5 linked regions of the Xenopus tropicalis genome follow. The protein of the gene in region 1 purifies or fractionates together with the protein of each later gene. This does not show direct contact. Links are inferred from orthologs where the notes say so. Each region holds a gene or a part of one and is shown in the gene's direction. Other genes may lie near its edges.

Region 1 (4,090 bases):
GTTCCTGCACTGGTACAGCTGGGGTGTTTGCTACAGAAACCCTACTATAGTTTATATAAATACCCCGCTGTGTAGCCCCGGGGGCAGCCGTTCCTGCACTGGTACAGCTGGGGTGTTTGCTACAGAAACCCTACTATAGTTTATATAAATACCCCGCTGTGTAGCCCCGGGGGCAGCCATTCCTGCACTGGTACAGCTGGGGTGTTTGCTACAGAAACCCTACTATAGTTTATATAAATACCCCGCTGTGTAGCCCCGGGGGCAGCCATTCCTGCACTGGTACAGCTGGGGTGTTTGCTACAGAAACCCTACTATAGTTTATATAAATACCCCGCTGTGTAGCCCCGGGGGCAGCCATTCCTGCACTGGTACAGCTGGGGTGTTTGCTACAGAAACCCTACTATAGTTTATATAAATACCCCGCTGTGTAGCCCCGGGGGCAGCCATTCCTGCACTGGTACAGCTGGGGTGTTTGCTACAGAAACCCTACTATAGTTTATATAAATACCCCGCTGTGTAGCCCCGGGGGCAGCCGTTCAAGCTGGAAAAAAGGAGAAAAGGCACAGGTTACATAGCAGTTAACTAGTAGATAAGCCCCATATAGTGGGTGTTTATCTGTTATCTGCTTAGTAACCTGTGCCTTTTCTCCTTTTTTCCAGCTTGAACGGCTGCCCCCGGGGCTACACAGCGGGGTATTTATATAAACTATAGTAGGGTTTCTGTAGCAAACACCCCAGCTGTACCGGTGCAGGAATGGCTGCCCCCGGGGCTACACAGCTGCTTATTTATATAGTAGCTTTTCTGTAGCAAAAACACCAGTTTTTTGCAGAGCAACAGCACATTATATTTTAATTACTTTAAAACACTTTAATTAATGTTACTGTTCCTTTAATACTAAAGGTAATATATCAGCTGGGTGCAGTTACCAAACGTGCCCACTGGGTGCCGCTGTGTAAGTGCAGCGCTTACTGTTCCAGCCTGATAGCGCTCAAAGTAATAACATGTTTGGCTGCCGCTGGCCACAGAGAGTCGCTATGGAAGCTGCAGATGCGCGCAGTGCGGTTGGGGAACACTAGGTGGCGCTGCTCATGTGTAACATCAGTCGTTCGCTGCGCTGTCGTTTGGCTGAGTGCAGTACTGCTGGTGAGCACTAGATGGCGCTATTGCACTAGGCACAGTGCCGCTGCTGGATACCGTTATGAGCGGAAGAGGCTGCTGCCCAATAGACGCCCCCTGTTGTGCTGCTATAGATATTGCGCTACAGTGCAACACCCATGGTGTCCGCTAGGAGTCGCTGTCCCCCGCAGTTTCCCCCCATTGGCTGCAGAGATGGGGGATTTAGAGGCCGGGGAAACTACTGTGGAAAAACCCGAGCCTCCCCCTGCCCCCCCCGCGGAAGAGCCGGTGCTGTGGAGCCCGGAGGTTGAGGTGTGTCTGTTCCATGCGATGCTCGGCCACAAGCCGGTCGGTGAGTGGAGGCCGCGGCCCATCCCCGGACTCGCGTAATCTGGGAACCCGGGAAGGGGGGGCTTCCGGTCCGGGTGGCGTCGGGACATGGCGGCCCGGGGCGGGATGAGGGGCTCTGGGTGTCTGTACCTGGGGGGGTAGGGGCACTATATCGGGCACTTTGGGGTTATTGTACCAGTGAGTGTAATTACACCGCAAAAGTAAAGTCCTGGGCAGTAACCTATAGCAACCAATGGGATCTTTGTTTCTATTGTTCTCTGCGGCTGAAAGAGAATCGCTGATTGGTTGCTCTGGGCTTTTGCTGCAGATTTGCCCCCTGTGTATAAATACATTCTATTTGGGGGGTATTTGGGCAGAACTAGGGGGAACCCTAATAACCATGTGACTACGGGACTCATTAACCCTTTGGCAGACGCAGGGCACAACTGACTCTTCTTTTTGCCCCTCGCAGGCGTGAACCGCCACTTCCACATGATCTGCATCCGGGACAAGTTCAGCCAGAACATCGGGCGCCAGGTCTCATCCCGAGTCATCTGGGAGCACCTGCGGAGCATGTACGATATGCAGGCCTTGGTAGGTGGCCCCGGGGAATGGGGGGGGCATTTCCTTACACTTCCAGGTGAGGTAGCCCCGCCCCCTGCTGTTTGCTCCACCCCTGCGCCCCCCTAACCTCCTGCCGTTACTTTCCCGTTGCAGCACGAGTCTGAGATTCTCCCCTTCCCAAACTCGGAGAAGAACTTCATTCTCCCGGAGGATCTGATTCAGGAGGTGAAGGAGGGTGAGTGTCAGCCTTTGGGTCCAGTTGCCCTCTGGGTACTGACCTAATGCTCTCTGTACCCCATTACTAACCTTGTGCCCCCCCCCGGGGCCCCCATACAGCCGGGCCCTAAAGGTCTGTGTCCCCTCCTCCTCTCTGCAGGGAAGGTGACGTCGGAGGAGGAGCTAAAGGAGGAAGTAAAGGAGGAAGTGGAAATACACGGCGGCTCGGATGAAGGTGGGAAATATTGGGCTGAGGAGCTTGCAATCTGTTATTCAGCTTCCCAGCCTCGGCCCCTGAGGAGTCTGTAGGGGCAGCGCTTAAGGGGGCGGTTCCCCTTTAAGTTAACTCTTAGCATGCTACACAATGATCAGTTCTAAGCAACTTTTCAATTGGTCTTTATTTATTTTTTATAGTTTTTGAATTATTTGCCTCCTTTCAAGTTTTCAAATGGGGGTCACTGACCCCGGCAGCCAGAAACCTATTGCTCCGTGAGGCTCCAGTTTTATTGTAACGTTTTTGTAACTTTTTTTTCTATTCAGCCCCTCCTCCTATTCATATACCAGCCTCTCATTCCCTGGTTGCTAAGGTAACTTGGACCCCAGCAACCAATTAGCTGCTAAAATTCCAAACTTAAATAACTAAAAAACTACAAATAATAAAAAATGAAGACCAATTGCAAACTGTCTCAGAATATCCCTCTCTACATCGTACTAAACGTTAACTCAAAGGGGAACAACACCCGAAGGTGCAAGTTTTGGGTCTTCCAGAACCGTTTCAGCCCATTTCCGGAACCAAAAATACACCTCTATCATTGTCTCTATTGGAACACGGCAGGGGGAGGGGAGACTTGACCAATTCTTCCAAGTGCATTGTGGGTAATGGGTGGTTTCTTGGTGGCTTCAGGGGGTCGGAACTTCATCTCTGTTGCCATAGTAACATTTCAGTCATCGATATCCTCATTGTCAAGGGGAGGAGCTTCCTGTACCTGTATAAGTGCATTTAGCAGGGGGCAAACAGTATAGCCACCTGGGGGCAGCAAGTTTAGCAGTTGCCCCAGGCAGATAACATAACCTGGGTGGGGGCTTCTGTGGGGTATATACGTGAGGAGGGGTAGATTTAAGGGGCAACAGGCCCTGCCAGATGCCTCACTCATGGGTATTTCCTTCCTCTGCAGCTTTTGTCAACTCTGGGAATTCTGGGAAAGGGCTGGACAAAGCCCCCGGGAAAGAGCGGACCCTCTCGGAATCCAGCTCCAAGGAATCGGGGGACAAGCGCAAGCGGAGCCGGCTCACCGAGAAAGTGCAGAACGCAAACAGCAACCCGTCCAGCCCGAACGCCAACAAGCGCAGGCGCACATAGGGGCGGGGCTGAGAGAAGGGGTGTGGCTTCCCAAGGGGTCAGAACCGGCCCGCGTGTAACTGAACTAATGGGTTGTGTGAGAGTCAGAACATTCTGCCCCGGCTCTGGGGCAGTAGCCAGTAGACTGTAGATCTCAAGGATGTAAATATTTTTAGGGGGTATGTGGGGGGGGGGGGTAGTGAATCTACATCCGCGGGGGCTGGGCAGACTGTGGCCCAATCAAACCCTCGTTAATCTACTGATGAATAAATCAATTCATTTCCCAACCCCTCTAATCTATTAGCCACGGGCTGACCATCTTTTTTATACCCCCCCCCCCCCAAAAATCAGCTTTGGAACGTTCCACTTTGCTCTTTCATAATGAATTAGGCACAGTCAGCAGCCTGGGGCCCCCCCAGAAGGTTCCTCCAGGGAATGGGGGGCTCTGGCTGTTCCCCACTATAGAGTCTCGGGGGCTGTCCTGCGAGTGATTCAGGGAGTTCAATGAATTTATAATGAACTTTC
Region 2 (3,500 bases), on another chromosome or scaffold:
CCCCATTTAAGTTCTAGCCTGTACTTGTTGCTTTTGCTACAGGTGCCTGACTCTGTGCTGAAGTTCCTTGCTTATTTAAATTATTTCTAGAGTGCTGTGCAATATGATTTGTAACTGGTTTTTAAACATAACCAGCTATATGAGCACAATGTTGGATGAGGAGCTCCACCTACTGGTTGGCACAGGCAAATTCACCTCAGCGCAATAACACAACTTTATTCAGCCTGATTACAGCTTGAAACGGTTTAAGTAGGGTACAGTGTACATCTGGTGGCTTCTGTTAATATTAAATGCTTACTACTATACTATTTAATTTTTTGGGGGAAAAAATAGCCAAAATAGGGTTAGCATACATTTTTGAAACCATTTTTATTGATTTTTTTTTTTATTTTTTTTAAATTAAGCACTATTTTAGTAGCCGTTTTTTTCTCTCTTTATTCAGGTATAACTTAGGGGACTTTAATGGCGAAATTCTATCAGAGGTTATGGCACATCGTCAACCATTGAAGCCCACCTATACTATCCCCCTCATGCCTATTTCTCCTATTCCATTTTTACATAAAGAAACAATAGATATTAAAGTTAATAAGGTAAGATTTGTTTATTTCACATAGTGTTTTTAACATTACCTTAATACTGGATTTTGTGGGTTCATGAATTTACAGACCATTCAGGAAACATGTTTCATTTATTAGATATATGCAAACCACTTGACCTGGTTAACTGCCTTGTCCTACTGTGACAAATTAAACGTGACCTTAGAATACAGCCACTCAGCACGGGAAACAATTTAAATACAACATCATCGAAGCTACAGGATAAAAAGATAGAGAAAAAGAATTATGCACTCACCATTTTTATTTCTCCGTATAAAGAGAATATATCTTTATAGTGGCTAATATATAATGTTTTGTATTGGTTTCCTGGTGAAGGCACATTTTGTGGAACTAGTGATAAGCGAGGATATTAATTGTGAGCAGTTCACATAAGCAAAGCACAGTTCTATCTTATAAATGGCGATTATTATAGACTGATGTCTGTAACAGTTATTAAATAACTGAATTCATATTTTAAGACCATTCAAATTCATTTTAGCAAGAAAAATCTGATGCTGTTCGACCGAAAAGAAAATATGAGAAGAAGCCCAAAGTCTTACCTGCTGCTCAACAGACAAGTCCTGCTGCACTGCCAGTGTTTAATGCTAAGGATCTGAATCAGTATGACTTTCCCAGCTCTGATGATGAACCTCTCTCCCAGGTATGCTGCTTTTATTATTTCAGGCTTCAATAAGTGTAATTGTGCCTCTTGAGACAGTCCTTTTGGGGGACATGCAGTGGTTGTTGGGGGCTAAGTAATGTAGGTGAGATTTGAGGTAAGGTTTTAGTTATTGGCTAGACACTCCTAAAACTGTTGCACACCTAATGTTAGTCTGTCTATAAAGATGTACGCACACACCGGTTTCTTGCATAAGTTTTATTAAGTGTTACATCACATTCCCGATTACATCCGCTAGTGAAATAATAAGATCTTCACAAAGCAGTGAAAGGCAAATGTTCAGGAAAGCTGTCAAAATAAGTCATTGCAATGAGTAATAGGAAATGTTGAGCATGATCTTCACTGGTGTTTTTTTCTGGTTTCTTTACCAGGTCATGTCTGGCTCCTCAGAGGCTGAGGAAGAAAATGATCCAGATGGTCCATTTGCTTTCCGTAGGAAAGCTGGCTGTAATTACTATGCTGTAAGTAACAGTCCTCATGCCTATACACAGACAAGTGGTGTTTGTTGTATACTAATAATAAAGGTTTTCCTCCTTGTAATTCCAAGCCACATTTGGACCAAACTGGCAACTGGCCATGGTGTAGTCCTGAGGAAGGAGGTCTTGGAGAAATTCGCTATAGATACTGCCTCACTACTCTCACTGTTCCCCGCAAGTGTATTGGATTTGCGCGAAGACGGGTTGGACGTGGTGGAAGGTAAGATATCTTGTTAAATACATTATAGCTGCTTTATCATCTGTAAGGTTACCGTAGTGACGGCTATATACTTTGTTGGCCCAGGTAATTACAGATGAGGTAATTTACCTAAAAATCTGGTTGTGCCAATGTGTGTCTCCTCTTTTAAAGGAGAAGGAAAGGTAAAAACCAAGTAAGCTTAATCAGAAAGGTCCATGTAAGTACACCTCACTCACATAAAAGCTGCACTGAGTCTTCTATCAAAAGAAACTCAGAAATTCTTTTTTTTTTATTGTTTAAACTTGTTCTTTGCTATCTCACTTCCTCTCGGAAAAAAATCCTTCAGAGCAGGGCACAAGTCTGTGCACCTCGCTCCCCCTCCCAACCGTGCTGTGTAATCTAAGCTACCAGCAGCTGGAGCTGCAGCACGGAAACTACTGAGACCAAGCTAAATTGGCAGCTACTATCTCAAAAAAAACAGAGGGAGCTTCTAGGGCTGTTTACTCTGATATGGTAAAGCTTTTTGCAGAACAAATATAGCGTTCTAGCTTGCACTAATGTGGCGAAAATATTTGCTGTAAAATGTCAAAATACCTTTCCTTGTCCTTTAAGGCTGGGCCAGCTAGGCATGAGAGCAAGTGGCAGAATGTGAAGCACCATATATCATTTATTTTGTCTGGAACTGCACCACATCCCTTTACATTTTATACTTTCAAAACTTTGTTTCATGCACCTACCTATGTTTAATTTAGAAGAAGATTTTAAATATTGCTCTATTTCCTATTTTTTAGAAACAGAATGCTTAAGTGTAATTAATACTGTCTCTTATTAAAGGACATGTAAACTCCACACACACAAATTTAATCAGTGAACAGCCTCTTTGAAATCTTTCAATACCTGCCACACTGGTTGTCCAGAGGTTAATAGTAAGGCTGCAACATCCCCTTAATCACTTAGATTTCCTTCTCCTCCTGTAACCCACTCAGCCCCCGCCCTCAGGAATTTGCTTTGGCTGTTGGCTTGTGGACATGCTCAGATTACTAAACACGCCCCCCAGTCTAGCAGCCAGTGAAGAGATGGCATTGCTGCTTCCTATAGAAACTCAGCTCTAGCTGTCTGCTTCAATTGTTTTCTCCTGAGCTCAGCTTTACCATTACAGTGCTCAAACAAAGCAGAACTTTTATCAAAGACATTTGTGCCTGTGTGAGCCTGTATCCTTGATGAAATGTATGCTGAATAAGAGTTTTTGTGTGTGTAGGCTGTTTGCAGATTTAAATGTATCAGAGAAATAATGGCCACCAGGTGAAAGCTGCTATTTGGTTTAGGAAAATGTGATGGTGCTGGCAAACGGAGGGGATATATGCAGTACAAATGATGCCATTTGGGTGGGGAAAATGTGCCCAACTGATAGACATTGTAGGCAAATGTAGGCTTTACATGTCCTTTAATGCAATCAAAGCTTGTTTTCAGTCTGTTTATAATTTGAGGGTTAAACTCTATTTCCCAATCTTTGTTTCTACAGGGTGCTCCTTGACAGAGCCCATTCAGAC
Region 3 (2,680 bases), on another chromosome or scaffold:
GAGAGCCATGCAGCCTTTCTTTTATATCTGTGTGTGTCTTGTACTTACTGAGAGCCATGCAGCCTTTCTTTTATATCTGTGTGTGTCTTGTACTTACTGAGAGCCATGCAGCCTTTCTTTTATATCTGTGTGTGTCTTGTACTTACTGAGAGCCATGCAGCCTTTCTTTTATAGCCGTGTGTGTCTTGTACTTACTGAGAGCCATGCAGCCTTTCTTTTATATCTGTGTGTCTTGTACTTACTGAGAGCCATGCAGCCTTTCTTTTATAGCCAGGCTATGCTACTTTTTTAATATTTCCTTGTATTCCCCAAACAGGAGCCAATTCAACTCCTTAAACCAAAGCCCAAGAAAGCAGATGCCCCTCCCAGCAGTGCAGCAAAAAGCCGCCCAGAAAAGCCTCACCCTCAGGAGACACCAGAGGACGCAGTAGACAGTGAGTATGCCGCGGGCAGTGAGCTAGGGGGTTTCCTATGCTCAGAATCCGATTGGCTCTCCTAACTAGTCTTCCCCTTTAAACTCTCAGGCCGCAAACAAATGCGCCAATCGACGACGGAGCACACGCGGCAGACTTTCCTGCGAGTAAAAGAGCGGCAGATCCAGTCCAAGAAAAAGAAGGGGCCCCACCAGGACCGACCGCTGACCCAGGTGGAGCTGCTGGAAGAAGCCAAGATCACCGAGGAGATCAACATCCGCTCCCTAGGTGCGTGAGTACCGCCACTCCCCGTCCCGCTCCGGTGCCCTCCCCCCCCCCCCCCCCGTGCTCCAATGGTTTCTCCCTTTCTCCCACAGAGAATTACGAGCGCCTGGAAGCCGACAGGAAGAAGCAGGTCCACAAGAAGCGACGGTGCGTCGGCCCCACCATCCGCCACCACTCGCTGGTCATGCCCCTCATCACCGAGCTCAACGTGAAGGAGGAGAATGTGGATGTGGAAGGGTAGGTGCAACATGGCAGCTCCTACTTTGTACAATTCCCTCTTCCCATTTGTTATGTGTAACAAGGGGCATCCTCAGTGGGCAAACCCATCAGTCATGTGATGCTGCCCTGTGTACATTACATTTCCATCCTTGATATTGAAGCAAACGCCTGGTTGTTAGGGTCAGTGACCCTAGCAACCAGATACTCACTTTCTTAACCATTACAACGTTTTCTCTTGTTGCTTTTCTTTTATGTGTTGGGGGCCACAGGCTGGATCAGGAGCAGACAGGGGACGGCGCCCAAGTTTCGTCCGCGGGCAAATGCTCCCGCACTTTCATAACATTCAGCGACGACGAATCCTTCGAGCGATTCTTCCCCAGGACCAAGCAGGGCAAGTTCTCAGTCCGGGACATCTGCCCCGTTACCCATAAGCCGGCCCAGTACCGAGACCCCATCACAGACATCCCCTACTATAACGCCAAAGCCTTCAAAATCATCCGGGACGCTTACAAAAAATACATCACCACGCACGGCCTGCCTAACGCCGCCATGGCGGCCGCTATGGGCCCCGCCCCCAGTTCTGCTGACGCCGCCCAACGCAACACGAGGCAGAAAATCATTATCAAGCAGAGCGTGCCAAGCGCCTGATACAGCGCCCTCTAGCGTCTGCCGGCCATTACAGCACTCTGAGAGAGTTATGTACAAAGGATTATTCCCATTGGGAAGCTGTAGAACATCTACAGGGGCCACATTGCTCCTCTGATTCCTGGAGTAGAAGAAATGGGAGGGGCCAGGGGGTTGAATTTCTTAATGAGCCCCCTCACATTTGGGGGGGGGGGGGCTGCTCCCCTTAGCAGTAATGTAATTGGCCGCCATTCAGTTCAAATTACCAAATGGTAAACCCCGCCCACCCCAAACACACACAGGGGACTGGGACACCTGCTTCCAATAGCAGCTAAACAAACAGTATGGGGGGTGGGGCAAAGGCACAGATGCAGTTACCAGGGTGGCTTTAACCTGACTGACGTACTGTATGTTATATAGGGCTGAGCTCTCTCTATAGGCTACTATCTGGTTGCTAGGGCTTGATTACCCTAGCAACCACACACCAGGTCCGATAACACACTATAAAAATTGAAGTCAGTTTGCATTTTGGTTTCCAGAGATGTTTTGTTGGTTAAATGCTCCTAGAGCACTGGGGGGGGGGGGGGGGGACTGTCTGTTATGTACATTATAATAAATTTGATTAGTAATTTCTGTGAATTGTAGTTAGTTGTGAGTTTTATTATGGCTTTTCATGCTGAGTAAAAGTACAGGGCGCCAGTGGCAGCATAGGGATTCCCCTGTACTAAGCACAATTCAGCAGGAACAGCCCCCTAAGTTTGCCCATAGCCTGTACAGAGAGATACCATAAAACTATGGCACATAGGGATTCCCCTGTACTAAGCACAATTCAGCAGGAACAGCCCCCTAAGTTTGCTCTTAGCCTGTACAGAGAGATACCATAAAACTATGGCACATAGGGATTCCCCTGTACTAAGCACAATTCAGCAGGAACAGCCCCCTAAGTTTGCCCATAGCCTGTACAGAGATATACCATTAAACTATGGCACATAGGGATTCCCCTGTACTAAGCACAATTCAGCAGGAACAGCCCCCTAAGTTTGCCCATAGCCTGTACAGAGAGATACCATAAAACTATGGCACATAGGGATTCCCCTGTACTAAGTACAATTCAGCAGGAACAGCCCCCTAAGTTTGCC
Region 4 (3,500 bases), on another chromosome or scaffold:
AAAAAAAATAGATATTATTAAGATACACTGCTTTGATGTAATCTTTCTTCAATTGATCTTTTTATTTTTTTCAGCACTGTGCCTCACAATATTCTGAACTGTTGGAAACTACAGAAACCCCAAAGTGAGTGTAAATTATTTACATTTTAATTTTACACTTGAAATGGCACTGCTTGCTATAAACAAAATGCAGAACGGTTGTGATATTGTATTCAAAGTGGTATAATGCTAGAAGAATTATATTTAACTAAATTTGATTTTTTGATGATCGTTTGGCCCTTCCTGCCTTATGATCAGTTATCTATATAGTTATCCGACATACAATATACTTATTGTGGCGGACTACATTAAAACTGTTATATCATAGAGGACCATAAAATGCTTTTAATAACCATATCTAGCCTGCAGGCCTAAACTTGTGAGGCCTCTTATTCTATATTATGTTTGCACTGTCTAAGATTTTCCATGTCAATTGGCAGTTATTTACATTTTCACTTGCTCAGGGACCAGAATAATAAAACAGATGTCATACAAAGGGGTGTGTGCAGACTTGGATTGTGGCATGGATTAGTGTTTTAGCTGTTATTTGTGAAAGAAAGGGCATATCTTTGCAATATTACAGAGCTATTACGGATAAATATGCTGTATGTCTTGGCATTAATATGATTATAGAAGGAAAAGGACTATACCATAATAACCCCAGGCAGTGAATCAAATCAACAGGGTTAAAGGAGGAGGACAAGGACAAGTTTGGTTGAAAAGACCATTAACTAATATAGCTAGGTTCAGTTTACAGTGGCATTGGTTCATCCAGGAGAAAATCAGTAGCACTCAGTTAGAGACCTGGGTCTGAATGTCAGTGACTAGTGAAGGAGCGTCTATGTATATCTGGGTGTCATCTGCATAAAAGTAATATTTAAGGCCAATTTAGGAGATAAGGTCTCCTAAAGATGTACAGGGAGAATAACAATGGGCCATGTTTAGAGTCCCGGGGCACCCACACACTAAGCTGAAACAGGGAGAACTTGTTAGAGCAGCTGTTAGAGAGGTAGGAAGAGAACAACAATGCTGCTTGATCTGGATGTTAAAAGAATAGAGACTTTGCATTAGAATGGGATAGTCAGCTGTATCAAAGGTAGATACATGCAGGAGAATGAGATTAGAATAGGGTCCTTTGGCCCTGACAGTTTGGAGATAATTTGCAACACTACATAAGACTGTCTTAGTGTCTCATGTTGAAAACCAGACTGCATAGGGTCTAGCAGATTGGGGGTGCTGAGAAAATTAGTATTAGAGAAAAGACAAGATGTTTCAGAAGATTAAAGGTTAGTGGTAGAAGAAGCGGGGATAGAGGTAGTTAGATAGGCAGGATGGATCAAGTGTGACCTTTTTAAAGGAACAGTAACACCAAAAAATGAATGTATTATATACTGTTGCCCTGTTTTATGTTTGCTTCAGAAACACTACTATAATTCATAGAAACAAAGCTGTTGTGTAGCCATGGGGGCAGCTATTCAAACTAAAATAGGGCTAAATGGCGCAGGTTACATAGCATAGATAAGTTTAACACCGTCCTATTCTACAGAGCTTATCTGTTATTTGCTATGTAAGCTGTGCCTTTTTTCCAGCCTTAAAGGCTGCCCCATGGTTATACAACCGCTTTTTTATATAAAGTATAGTAGTCTGAAGCAAACACACAGCTTTTACCAGTGCATGGCAACAGTAAAGGATTCTATTTTAATTACTTTCATTTTTGGTATTACTGTTTCTTTAAGAAACACAGGGCTGTTTGAATTAAGAAGGGAAATTACCAGAGGCTTAGGCTAATGCCACACGTAGCGTATGGAGCGTATTTTCGGCAAGCCGAAAAATGCTTGCCGAGAATATGCGCCATATGCTCTAAAAGGCCCCTACCTGTGCCTGCACCCGAATGAATGAAATATGCTCAGGTGCAGGTACATGTAGCTGATATCCACTAAAAAATCTTCATATTTTTGGCGGATATCAGCTACATGTGCCTGCAACCGAGCGTATTCCATTAATTCGGGTGCAGGCACAGGTAGGCTGAATTTACAGTAGCGGGGTGTATTCTCGGCAAACGGTTTCCGGCTTGCTGAGAATACGCCCCATGTGGGATTAACAGAAGACAATCTGTGGTTTTCATGTTTCTATTCTTCTATCTGGATTTTATTTTCAAGTAGCATTGTTGGTTTAGGGAATCATTTGCATTTTTGCAGAAGAACATGATACAATAGTTGTTATTTTCTTTATGTAAACCTAGGAAGTAAGTTTGTGCCAATTGTATTTATTTACTGTCCAGGCGAAAAAGAGGGGAAAGAGGTGAAGTAGTGGAGACTGTGGAAGATGTTATTGTACGGAAACTGACAGCTGAAAGAATTGAAGAACTGAAAAAAATGATTAAAGAGACTCAGGAGAAATACAGGTGAAGTTGCACAATAAATAAACATATACATACAGTTGCTGGCCTTGCAACAATATTTGTTACAAACGGAAAATAATCAGATTAACTGTGCAGCACTTAAAGGTTATTTTGAATTCTGAAAAAATTAATTCATTTTAAGCAAGGTTAAATAGTTTTAAAGTTATTTTGTAATTGCAATTGAAAAAGCAGTATTTTCTGTTCTCTAGTTCTACCTTTGGAAAAATGTAGCAGAAGTTAGTTCTTTCCAAGCGCATTAATCAGCTGTATTTTGCTACATTGTTTCAAGAGTCAGAATTTGAACATATAAAGGCCTTAAGTAGCATTCACAATAACAAATAACTTTACAACAATCATAGTAACTGTATATTGAAAAATTGCTTTGGATTATGTTTTCTTTTATTAAGCAAAATTGAAGTGAAAGGTGAAGTTTTCCCTTAACCCCAACAGTTTGTTTTATTTTTATGTACTATATTAGTTTCATCTTTGTGTGTATAGGAAACTGAAGAAAGAAGCAGAACTTATTCAGAGTGGTCATTTGGACAGCAAGCTGGAAGACCTGTGGAATGAGACTTTGGCGTGGGTTCTCTTTATACTGCACACTTACATTCAGACATTAGTAAGTGTAGGCTCATTTTGAAAACATTACTAACAAATTCAGTTTTGCTTTGTTCACTGTAGCAAAAAGAAGCAAGAAGAAGAGGAGGCAGAAATGAAGAGAAAGGCTACAGAGGCTGCATATCAAGGTAAAATTGTAAGGAATTGCTAGGTAGATAGTGACAACTGTATATTTTACAAGCTGAAGTTTACACTGGGAAGATACAGCCATCTGGGCTTTTCTACAAGTTTTGATGATACTCCATTATCCTCTCTGGAGGGACACAGGCACTTCAGGATTAAATCTAACTTTCAGGAGAAAAGGGCACAAAAAGAGAAAAGCAGTTGGCAACTCTCCTAGGGGCTCTGCTCATGCAACCCAATGTGCCCAGCACTTTAATAGTTTTGGACATGGACTGAGGGCAGGTTATTAGGGGCTCTTTCTGCTAGCCAATTTGGACAT
Region 5 (3,500 bases), on another chromosome or scaffold:
GGAGTACTTTTCAAACTATGTTGTTGGAAAGCAAGAATGTCAAACAAATTTCTAACCAATTAATTATGTACTTGGCTAAGCAAACTTTTTGATTTAAGGATCCGTAAAAGTGTTACCCCATCAATGGACAGCAGTCATATGTCCCAACAGCTATCCTGGATGGGTCTTAATGCAGTGTTTTATCTTGGTGACTTCACAACTTGCTTTTAACTGAATGTTTCCCCATCATATAAAAAAAAACTGTGATTATTCACATAATTACGAATACAACACTGTTTTTCATGCAATATTGTTTCCATGTGCCATGATCCAAATATAGTAACTTTCAGTAGCGTAACTACAGAGAAAGCAGACCCTGTTTTTCTCTATAGCCACTCTTGTCCCAGGAAAGTTTGTGTGCACACTGCTGATAGTTTGCAGTGGGTGCGCAAATGTTCCTGGGACAAGAGCACGCACTTGAGAGCAACTTTTGACAACAGCAATTGAAAACACTGCTTTTTACTTTGTTGGGGTGAGCTGAATTTGAAAAGCACCATTATCCATTTTGTTGGCAGCATGTTCTATGTGGAAATTACCAAGGTTTTAATGCAGTGGTAAAGGTGGCATTTGGATCCCTGCCCCATATGCCACAAGTCAACTGACTCTGCTTCTAAGTCTCACAAATGCATCAGCATGTAATTGTATACTATATGGTACCAATATTTACGAATCATATGTTAAAATCAACACACCACCCATGTAAAACTGTTATGTGCTACGCTTCTGTTCAGTAAATTAGAACTGTATGGATCCTTATTACCCAATTACTGAGTGGGTGGGCATTTTATGCTGATACATGTGGTTGCCATTGAAACTACTTGAGTATCTGAGGTGATACATTAGAAGCAATTACAGTGTAATATCGGTCCCTTTAGCCTACTTGAGAAAGTCTAACCCCGTATGCAATAAAAGATGTAGCAGTTACCCATAGCAACCAATAAGATTAGAAGTGTGCTTTTAAACAGGTGACCAGTAAATTCTACCTGCTAATTGGTTGCTATGGTTTACTTCTCTTGGGCAAACTTAGTGCACTTTATTACATAACCCCCTAAATCTTTGACTTCTGTCACAATATGAATCATGTAACAGACCTGCAAATGTTTTTTAATCTGTGTATATACCAACTGTCCTAATATTGTGTCCATAAATATTTAGCATTTTTAAAAAGTTGTGATTTGTCTCTCTCCATAGGAGACACTTGCAAATTTAGAACGGCAGATCTATGCTTTTGAAGGGAGTTACTTGGAAGACACACAGATGTATGGTAACATTATCAGAGGTTGGGACCGTTACCTAACAAATCAAAAGTAAGTTTGGATTAGTAAGCTTCTGTTTTTGTTTAACCCTATATGCCCTTTGCTTTAGAAATTTGATGAAAAGATTAATACAACTTAATCTGATTCACTTACTGTTTAACAGACTACAGTAGTCCCCCAACCACAACTACATTTACTGCTATAACTCACTTTATTAAAGATCTGGGATTTATGGTCAATGCTTTAATATGCTTTTTTTTCCAGTTAATGTGCATTACAATTTATGCTGCAATATGAAGCAAAATATGAACTCCTGACAGTATTTAGAAAAAGAATGCATTGAAGTGCACTGTAGTTTAGAATGTTATTTGTTCCTTCTGAAACTGGCAATACATGTAATTTCATAAAATTTTGTCTATGAATATGAACAGTATGGTTGCCAATAATCATACACTATGGATACCTATGAGAAAGGGCTTGCTGGAGAATAGTGCCAAATATATTTTTATATGTGAATCTAGTAAACAAAATTTTCTATTGCAGGAATTCAAACAGTAAGAATGATAGGAGGAACAGAAAGTTCAAAGAAGCAGAACGACTTTTTAGCAAATCTTCCGTAACATCAGCTGCTGTAAGTACAATTTAAGAAAGCTTTCATGGTTAGTAATGAATGAACATTAAAGAATAAGTAAACCTTTTATTTTATAATCCCTAAAATGACTAGCTAGCTCCGCTGTGGTATTCTGCATCTGTAGGTCAGCTTTACAGAGACACTTTTCATTGAAATAGACTCAAAGGGGAGGGAGCAAGGATGGGGCTCATTGGAAGGCAGTGGATGGGGGGCTTTTGTCTAGGGGAGGTTTAGTTCTTCTTTAATGAAAAGCACAGTTTTCATACCACAGTCTTACTGCCACCACTGCATGGGTTTACAATTTGGCGCATTTCATTAATTACTAACAGGCAGATGGACAATGGTATTTTGTTTACTGTTGTTTTCTTCTGGATGGCATCACTAGACTAAACACTCCGTGTGCCATAGCCCTTAGAATGGCCAACTTATAAGGCCTGATTATGACCATCTTTTCATTTGCATGGTAATCTTGTTTTGGTAATTACAGTTTCAGTCTATGTACAGATTTTTTTAGGGCATAGCCACATCGAAAAACATTTTGGATCTCTGGGTTCTTGTACAGGTCATTTATGTAGAACTGTGCTGTCCAACTTATAATAAAAAGTGGACCAATTAGGTGGTAACCAGTAAGTTTGTGGACCAGATTATAATTCAATTATGACATAAAAAATCTGTGGGGTGCATATGTACGCCAGTGCCTTAAATTAATTTGGAATGCCACATTCAGGTGTTGAATCTCCAGTTAGACGAGTCCTTCTGTTCAACTTGCTCATATTATATTCTAAGCTGCTATAGAAAGTGCCTTATTGCTCTATAACAAATATTTGTGTTTACACTTTAGGCTGTCAGTGCATTGGCAGGTGTTCAAGACCAGCTGATTGAGAAACGTGAGTGTAATGTTTATATGTTTTTTTGCTTTGTATTTGTCTTCAAGTGAGATGAGAGCATAATTTAATGTGTCATGCATCTTTTATTGCTGATTTACTTTCAGATACTGTCTTGCGCAGGATCTCCACTATTCTTTCTTTTTGCCAAAACCTTCCTTATACTTACATCATACTCCAACATGCTCTGAAATGTTAAAGTAATCTTTGAGCTGTTATTTATCAGTATCATAAGACTTTAAAAAGGGTTTGTATATCATTACATTTTATGTTGGCAATGGTAGGTAGCCCATCTGTACCATGTATGCATTAGCTGCAGTTATAGAATTGTGTGTTTTCATTTTCGTGGATTTTTTTGACTGCATCTTATGCGGTCTTGCTCTGTTTTTTTTTTTAGGGGAGCCAGGCAGCGGAACAGAGAGCGACAACTCTCCAGATTTTCAGAACCAAGAAAATGAGCCTAGCCAAGATGATACAGAGGATTTAGATGGTTCCCTGTCTGGTGTTAAACCTCAAAAAGCAGCTTCTTCAGCCAATTCTGGTGGCCATCACAGCAGTCACAAGAAACGCAAGAATAAAAATAGGCACAGGTTGGCTGAAAAATTGCTTAGAACTGTAATTTGCTAAAACTGTATTTAAGGACACTATTTTTATTTTTTAATAAAAATGATTTAGAAGTTTTACTGTTTC

The links. The genes of interacting proteins can lie anywhere in the genome.
Region 2: the proteins of mrgbp (region 1) and epc1 purify together in Homo sapiens (affinity purification with mass spectrometry; 6 studies listed by BioGRID and IntAct, counting the BioPlex papers as one, with this or other methods). This does not show direct contact. The link is inferred for Xenopus tropicalis from reciprocal best matches to the Homo sapiens genes MRGBP and EPC1.
Region 3: the proteins of mrgbp (region 1) and vps72 purify together in Homo sapiens (co-immunoprecipitation; 5 studies listed by BioGRID and IntAct, counting the BioPlex papers as one, with this or other methods). This does not show direct contact. The link is inferred for Xenopus tropicalis from reciprocal best matches to the Homo sapiens genes MRGBP and VPS72.
Region 4: the proteins of mrgbp (region 1) and brd8 purify together in Homo sapiens (affinity purification with mass spectrometry; 10 studies listed by BioGRID and IntAct, counting the BioPlex papers as one, with this or other methods). This does not show direct contact. The link is inferred for Xenopus tropicalis from reciprocal best matches to the Homo sapiens genes MRGBP and BRD8.
Region 5: the proteins of mrgbp (region 1) and meaf6 purify together in Homo sapiens (co-immunoprecipitation; 4 studies listed by BioGRID and IntAct, counting the BioPlex papers as one, with this or other methods). This does not show direct contact. The link is inferred for Xenopus tropicalis from reciprocal best matches to the Homo sapiens genes MRGBP and MEAF6.

The regions. Positions count from the first base shown.
Region 1 is NC_030686.2:2,538,002-2,542,091, reverse strand, and holds the start of mrgbp (MRG/MORF4L binding protein), read left to right. Parts: upstream 1-1,290; 5' UTR 1,291-1,329; coding exon 1,330-1,468; intron 1,469-1,918; coding exon 1,919-2,040; intron 2,041-2,163; coding exon 2,164-2,245; intron 2,246-2,386; coding exon 2,387-2,461; intron 2,462-3,401; coding exon 3,402-3,586; 3' UTR 3,587-4,090.
Region 2 is NC_030682.2:22,943,313-22,946,812, forward strand, and holds part of epc1 (enhancer of polycomb homolog 1), read left to right. Parts: intron 1-442; coding exon 443-590; intron 591-1,095; coding exon 1,096-1,257; intron 1,258-1,646; coding exon 1,647-1,736; intron 1,737-1,822; coding exon 1,823-1,971; intron 1,972-3,472; coding exon 3,473-3,500. UniProt on the Homo sapiens protein: Component of the NuA4 histone acetyltransferase (HAT) complex, a multiprotein complex involved in transcriptional activation of select genes principally by acetylation of nucleosomal histones H4 and H2A.
Region 3 is NC_030684.2:137,929,488-137,932,167, reverse strand, and holds the end of vps72 (vacuolar protein sorting-associated protein 72 homolog), read left to right. Parts: intron 1-316; coding exon 317-434; intron 435-524; coding exon 525-701; intron 702-790; coding exon 791-935; intron 936-1,186; coding exon 1,187-1,565; 3' UTR 1,566-2,180; downstream 2,181-2,680. UniProt on the Homo sapiens protein: Deposition-and-exchange histone chaperone specific for H2AZ1, specifically chaperones H2AZ1 and deposits it into nucleosomes.
Region 4 is NC_030679.2:47,835,073-47,838,572, reverse strand, and holds part of brd8 (bromodomain-containing protein 8), read left to right. Parts: intron 1-74; coding exon 75-124; intron 125-2,320; coding exon 2,321-2,443; intron 2,444-2,938; coding exon 2,939-3,019; intron 3,020-3,121; coding exon 3,122-3,186; intron 3,187-3,500. UniProt on the Homo sapiens protein: May act as a coactivator during transcriptional activation by hormone-activated nuclear receptors (NR). Isoform 2 stimulates transcriptional activation by AR/DHTR, ESR1/NR3A1, RXRA/NR2B1 and THRB/ERBA2.
Region 5 is NC_030678.2:86,132,697-86,136,196, reverse strand, and holds part of meaf6 (chromatin modification-related protein MEAF6), read left to right. Parts: intron 1-1,230; coding exon 1,231-1,346; intron 1,347-1,838; coding exon 1,839-1,926; intron 1,927-2,767; coding exon 2,768-2,813; intron 2,814-3,207; coding exon 3,208-3,400; intron 3,401-3,500.